Linked DNA regions of Drosophila melanogaster. The protein of the gene in region 2 interacts with the protein of the main gene of each other region in a pairwise test. Each region holds a gene or a part of one and is shown on either strand. Other genes may lie near its edges.

The links.
Region 1: the proteins of B9d1 (region 2) and mRpS35 interact in a two-hybrid assay, tested with the Drosophila melanogaster proteins (one large-scale study listed by BioGRID).

Annotation. Positions count from the first base shown.
Region 1 is NT_037436.4:2,778,756-2,782,612, reverse strand, and holds mRpS35 (mitochondrial ribosomal protein S35), read right to left. Parts: upstream 1,715-3,857; 5' UTR 1,601-1,714; coding exon 1,483-1,600; intron 1,420-1,482; coding exon 557-1,419; 3' UTR 508-556; downstream 1-507. Other genes in the region: Atg2 (Autophagy-related 2), read right to left, coding at 2,200-3,857.
Region 2 is NT_033777.3:15,479,804-15,483,455, reverse strand, and holds B9d1 (B9d1), read right to left. Parts: upstream 1,551-3,652; 5' UTR 1,450-1,550; coding exon 1,062-1,449; intron 944-1,061; coding exon 606-943; 3' UTR 552-605; downstream 1-551. UniProt on the Drosophila melanogaster protein: Probable component of the tectonic-like complex (also named MKS complex), a complex localized at the transition zone of primary cilia. Required for ciliary structure and function.

The DNA.
Region 1 (3,857 bases), on a different chromosome or scaffold from region 2:
TTAAGATAATAGAAATGATATTTAACTGCGCTGAAGGAACATCCGCTGGATAGTTACCTTATCGCAGACATATGTCAATGAATGTACTATAACTTAGAAACACTTCAGCGACTAACTTTGTTTATAATTCCGGATTTTATAATTTTAATCAGGTGAAACGTCATCAGCAGGTGAATTCTTATCAGGAGTTTGTTCTCACCTCTCTACGACTGTATTCTACTCAAAGCTCCATCCAAACGGGGTTGAATAAACTTATTAACTACTAAAATACTAATTAGCATAGCAAAACAAAAGTTTGCTTCCACGTCCGCGGAAATTCGGTTTTTTTGGTTCTGTTCTTGGCGCTGTTCTAATGCCATTCACACGGGCACGCCTTCATTGTAAACAGCTGTTCGGACATTCACAACGAAGGAGGGGCGTCGTAAAGGGGGATTACATGGTTGCCCAGTTTCAATTCAAAATTATTAACAAGATAAATATTGTAACATTCAAATACTTGTTATGATTATTTTTTAACAACTTCTCGCTTTATTGGTTCACTCAACTATCCAGTTTCCTAGGCAATGTTCAACATCTTCTTGACCTCCTCCTTGTATTTGCCCAAGTTGTACTCGTTTTCGCCTTCGTTTATCAGTTTCTCCACGCATTCAGCGAATGACTTGCTGGGAACCACTTTTGGAGCACCCTTCTTGGCGTTCCAGTTGAGGATTCCCTCGGCGGAGACCTTCGACTGGTTACGCTCGAACAGATAGACCTCCATGTCGGCCTCCGATTTGGTGGCCTCCCACGGCTCGGTGACAAAGGATTCGTGATAGCAAGCGGTGAGCAGATACAGGGCGTAGTCGTAGTTCTGCTTCTTCTGCGGACAGCGATCCGTGACGAAGGTAACGAGGTCCGTGTCCTTGTTGTAGCGATCGCCCACCAGGCGCAGGAACTTATCCCTGGCGTGCGCATCGAACTTCAGGTCAGAGAGCTTCAGGGTAATGGTGACGCGCCTGGCCTCCGGATTCCTGATCGTGGGCAAACTCTGGCAGTAGTCTGTGGTGGTGACCTCCAGGGGGAAGTGGCGCTGCCACTTGGCCTCTGTCTCCAGACCCTTTGGCCATGGCGTGCAGAACTTCTTGATGGCTTCGCATTGCTGACGGATGGCCGGCGGTGTCAAGTGCAGAAAGTTGGGTATCTTCATCAGCTCTGCATTGGCGAACTTCGACGGAGCTGCTGCTCCGCGTTCCGTGAATCCCTGCCGCAGTGGCAGAGGCACACTGGCCGGGTGGAACGAACGTGGTCCTGGCCAAACGGCCGTCCAGTCCTGATCCACCGCCATGCGGCCAGTGCGCGGCGGTGTGATGGGATCCCGACGGACCTGCTGGCGCTTCTGCATCTGCTGCTTCACCGTCCGCAGGCTGAGCACTCGGAATTCTGGCCGATCAGGAAGATATATCCATTATAAAACGTGTAAGCCAGGGAAACTTAATTGTTTACCTTCATCATCCTCAATTTCTTGCCGCTGCTCCTGGTTGGAAAAAACACGAATACCGCTTTGCGCCGTCTGTTTTTTCAGTGGCAGGCGCTCCAACAGGCGAGTCAGCGCACTGGACATGGTTTTATGTTTAATTTTAAGCTTAGATACCTAATTTTAACTAATATTTCCAGCGATTTATGCGGCTTTTACGTAAACCATGCGCCAACGAACATTCATTCGCGCCGAATAGCAAGCAATCAGCTGTTTACAGAAACTTGCCATTCACAGAGAAGCATACAAATAAAAGTAACGTCTTTTTAAATCATTTTGTAAACTGCTAGTTGTTTTTATTTGTACTTCATTTTTAGCTGAGGGTTTAATAAATTCTGGTAGTTCGGTTAAATTTTGCTAGAATAGTATCCGTTCTTAAACTTTTAGCAGCACCATGAAGAAATACGTCATCTTTTTCTTTTATATATATATATATTTATTCAGGTAAAATAATAAAAAATATAACTCTCATGTACTGTAATATGGCTAAAAAGGATAAGTTCAATCACACCCATGTCGGAATCACCGTTCGGGATCCCAAATCCCTCGTCACCTCGCCGTCTCGTGCAAGTGCTCCTTTTATGTACATTATTTATTATTAGTAAAACAATAGAAAACATTGCGTTATGCTGTAAGCCCCGTGAACTATAGCTACCGTTAACCTAGTCGATCTGTGAAGCAGTTGCCTAGTGGATCTCCTGCTTCCACTTGTCGCGCGCCTCCAGTTTGGCCTCCGGAATCAGCGAGCTCTTGGCGCCGCCCAGGATGTTGGTGGTGGCCTGGGTGGCCAGCACCGCCGGGCAGACGACCAGCTGAGGGATCTGGCGTACCACCGCGCCCACCGCTCCGCTGTAGCCCTTCTGGTCGTGCTCCGTGATGGCGGCTTCGATGAGTGTGTTGGCCGATTCGTTGATGCCCTCTCTCACTATGGTATAGGCGTTGGCCACGCCCTCGCGCAGGTCCTTGGGTCGTCCCTGTCGCCTCCGTTTGCCCTGCCTGCCGCCCTTCCGCTTCTTCATGGAAGGACCTGCAGATAGCATATCGAAGGTAGTCTCCGCCGTGAATTGCAGCAGGTGTATAATCCTGGAGGTGATCTCCAAGGCAGCCAGCGCTGTGCGAGCGGTGAAACTCTGGGCACCCAACTGGAATCCCCTGATAATTCGTCCATCCTTGTTGTACTGCTCGATGGGCAGCCGGAAAAGATCGTAGATACCCTGGAAAAGCTGCAGCACCGCATTCGTGGGTCCAATCCCGCTTAGGATATTGGGCAATTGATTCCGCTTGATGTCCTTCAGCCACTCCTTGGCCAGGAACTCGCACAGTTTGTTCCATCCCAGAATGCCTCTGCGGTTCACAATTTCCCTCAAATTAATTCCGGATCCCTGCAGCTGGGCAAGACCCATGATTAGGCCGGTGACCGGTCCGCGGGAGAGTTCAATCCGCCGTCCATGATAGTCAAAGCAAATGGGTAGTGCTGGACTGAAGATCACCTCGCGGAAGAACACAGGTGGAGCCGTGGCAGGATCCTCCTCCAACTCCACATCCAAGCTGTTCTCTTCAATCAGCACATTCAGGTTCCTCTCCACCATCTCCTTAACTTCCGAATCGGGCAATTTATCGGATAACTCCTCCGGCATTTTGCTCACCGACATCACCGGCATATCCGTGGCCGACGAACTGCTGCCCTCCGTTTTGGTGCCACCAGCAGCACTAGCGGAGTTTCGGAACATGCCCGAAAAGAAGTCCTCGAGAAAGAGCAGAGTATCCTGGTCAATGTTGAGTTTTATGGGCAAAATGGAGACCCTCAGGGAGCACTCTTCCGCGGAGCTCTTTTGCGGATTCGGACGCACATTCAGAGCCTTCACTATGACCATGTTCTCGTCCGGCTTATGGGATAAATTGTTGCCCGTCGGATGGTACAGAAACTTGTTAATGTCCGAGGAGCGCAACCTATCTCTTATTTCAATTTCCGACACAAGGAGCACCTGACGGGACGAGTACATGGAGGTCAACGGATAGGTTTCGTAGGAGAATCGAATCTTGGAGAGCTGCATCTCCACTAGAACCTCCAGATTGCGCTGCGATCCTTTGGGTTGTTTGAGCAGACCCTTCTTGGAACCCTTTTTGTCCTGTTTATCCTGCTCTTGAGCTTGAGACACGCCATACTTGTAGGTATCGGACATGCCAAAGCCACTGGTTGCCGACGAAGAGGATTTCTTGAGTGGTTCATCGGGGAAATCCCGGCCGCCATAAAGGTGCCATGTGAATGTCATCTCGCAAAGGGTGTAAGTGCTCTCGGCCACTGGGAAATTAGATGGAGGCCTAAGCAGGTCCACTTTCTCAT
Region 2 (3,652 bases):
TCACAAAGCCAATGATGCCGAACCACATGGGCTCCAATGGAGGCCACTGGTACCAGTACGGATCCACCATGTGCATAATCTCGGCGGGCACACTCTCCGCCAGGCTGAGATTGCGCCCATCGCGCATATAGGCGAAGCTCGGGGGATGCAGGCTGGCCATTTCGAATGGCTGGTACTGGTGGCGCTTCGGTGGTGGCTTCGTCTAAACTTGGATGGCTGGCTACTCTGCTGCGGCGACTACTCGCTGTCCATAGCAGGACGGCTGACTCTCGGGACGCGAACTCGGCGGCAATGCCTGGGGCGGACCATGGTCGTCTGGTCTTTATATGGCCACTTGTGTACAACGCGTCTTAGACTAATTGCCCTAATCCAATTAGCCGGCACTTGGCCAATCCAAAGCTAACCGTTCGAATTGGGCTTTCGATTGCCGCTCGTTTGCTGCGTTGGATTAGCAGCAGTCGCGTCATTTTGAAATCGTCTTAGCCGCCACAACGGACAAGGTCAAGTTTGAGGTACCACCCACCCGGCAATTAGATTAAGACAAACGCTTTCCTGCTTCCTCAAGTTCACGTTTTACTAACACACTCTGGACTCGACTCTCTCTCTCAGGAGTGCCAATGGTAGCCCAGCTTGCGGGCGCCCCTCATCACGGAGGACAGCTGAAACTGTAGGCTGCCGTACGACTCCATAGAGAGTCCCTTGCACTTCAGGTTGTCCAGCAGCACTTTGGGGTCCTTCAGCTCCGGCTCGCGGCGCAGCAGCCAACTGGTGATGTCCGCCATCATGTTGGGGCACTTGGGCATCAGGATGGGCGCCTGCAGCTGCTCCGTCTGATCCGCTGGACGACGACTGCCGAAAACGGGCAGGTGGATGTGAGCGTAACCGAGTAGTGTCTCCCTGCCCAGGCCACTGCGTCCGAACACGGTCACCAGGATCTGTGGCCCTGGAAACCAAAAGAATTGGAGATCTTGTTGGTGTAACTTCAATCTGATTCGAAAAATTGTTAATAGCTGAGCTGAGAAAGAATATAGTAAACTAATCGATTCTGTACTATTACTCACAGCCATATGGACTGGTGCTCTTGTAGGTCACCTCGATGGGCATATTGAAGACAATCGGTTCGTTGAAATGGCCCCTTCTATTGGTGGCCAGCTGGGTGAGTCCGTGCTGGGGTCCGGAGGACAGCTGCCAGTCGGGACCAGCGACCATTTCGTAGCGCAGGAAGACGAACTCCTTGTCGGGACCCAGGGGAAAGGTGGCCGAGACTATTTGGCCCACGATGCTCAAACTAAAGTAGCTGGCAGTGGCTTTCGCGTCCATTGCATTGGGAACACTTTCTTTGGCACTCCGGGACTTCTTTTTGGCCTTCTTGGCCTTTTGTTTATGTTTTTCATGCGGCGGAGTGGTTTCCTCGTTGCCCGGGAGACTGATGCCTTCGCTGGCGCTCATGGTGGTGGTTGCCGACTCACAACGGGGTGTGTTTCCAGCCAAGTCGAGTGCCAACTATTTTCCACCTGCCAAAACTGACTTGGCCACAAACTAAGTGTTGAAAGTGGTCAAAAAATATGACAGCTTGGACCGAAAAAAAAGGGATATTTTCTATAACAATCGATATATTGGGATTATATAGCAAAAATTGTTCGATTTATTTCATACGATTTTTGTTAAATGCATTATTGTATTAATTTGATGTTTATGACTTGCAAGATCGGAAACGAAATGATTGTAAACAATTTCCTCTATATTTTGATGATTCTTAAGGTTGAGTAATAGGAATTCCCCAGAGACACTCAACAAACGGATGGTTTATGGCCTGTCTGCATTTAATAATAGTTTAGATAAAACTGCGATGATAATTTCTATTTTTCTCTGATTCAATGAGGCAACATGTTCATAAATCACATTAATGATTCCTTTCGTTATGTATTGTAACCAGTTGGTGGATTTCCTTTGTTTCGTTAGTTAAGTATTCGCACACTTTGTCATGTCGACAGCAATGTAATTTAATTCCAACCGACATCGCTGGTTACATGGACATCGAGTGGTTCTGGCTTCCAATTTGCATACTCCGATCCAGATCGAGATCGAAGAAACATATCTGCACACCGCTGGTAAGTGACAATTACAAGATAATAACTCATTCTGCAGACCGGCAGTCTGGGCGGGGCAAAAGGTCAATTTCAATTTCGATTCGACTCACAACTCTTGGTCGGTCGTGTAATTAATGCTGTAATGGCCATTTAGCAATTTATAGCTGCCAACGTGGCATGGTCGTAAATCATTGTAACAATTGCCGGCGCTACCGAAGTCTACAGGAAGTCGCGCCTTCGATCTTCGATCCCCCGGTGCCGCTCCCTATTAGCATGATGCATTATGCAATGGCCAGTGGACAAGTAGCCAAGTAGCCAACTGGCCAACAGCCAGGCAGTCAGTCAGTTAGTCAGTTAGTTAGTCAATTAGTCAGTCAGTCAGTTAATCAGTTAATCATGCTGGGCGTAAATAAAATGCGCCTCAAGTAATGTCAATGGTTCAAGGCGAACTCCCGGCTCACCTGGCATCTTCCACGAGCCACGCAGATGATCTTCGCACCCATCGGATTGGATCGTCGTCAGTGCAGCTGTGGAGCTGAGTGGTGGCACAGCTGGGACAGCCGATTGGTGTTGCAATCAGAGTCGGATCAAGTGCTTACACTGGAAGAAAATTCCACTTACCTGTTCATTACCTATTCATTAATAAAACGATGGCTGTGGTAAATATTATTTGCAACTGTATTTTATTCAAAAACTAACTGACAAATTATTAAAGTATTTTCAGTAGTTAAAAAAAAAAAAAACAAGTATTGTTTATAAAAATAAATTAAGATTAAATGCATTACTTATCGGAAATTACCCATTAATAAGCACTGTGTACCCAAAGTTGGCGATGATGTTTCATTACATTCCAACTATGTATATAGTTTTCCCGCTTAATCTGGCATTTCGAGCAGTGTAATGTGTGTGGCATGTGCAGTTCCATGAAATAAGCTCCTTTTGATTGCCAAAACAAAAGCTTAGGCTTAGTCAGTCAGCCCAAAAGCAAAGGCAAAAGCAAAAGTAAAGCCATCAGAAATTGGACATCAGGCCATATGCCAAATCCAAAGCTAAAAGCCGCTCAATTCGCTGCTGCAATCGGAGATAGTGCTGATGCAGCGCAGAATCGACATAATTTGGGCTCGAGTTTAGCTATATGGCATTATACTCGTAGCATTATGCTGTGCGATTTTGATTTCGACAATTTTTCCACTTCTAATACTGAAGAATATGCCGCCTGCAGGCAAACTGACACACACAGACACACAGCCATTGTGAATTCAATTACGTTTTTGGAATCAATGAACGGAGGCATTATTCAGAAGAAATATTCATTTTGGAGTCTTATATAAAACCGATTCATATCCATTGAATGACCGGCCAGCCTGGTGTAAATGAAAATTTTCAATTGAAGTCTTTTGCAAGTGCATTAGCCACTCGAGGAGTTGCATTACTGAAAGTCGAGCGTCGTGTGTTGAACCGATTTGCGAAATGCGAATTTCTGGATCGGTTCAGGGACGGATTAGGGTCGAAATCATCTACAGATGGCGGATATCTTTCCCCGAACTAACAGACTAGCAGAC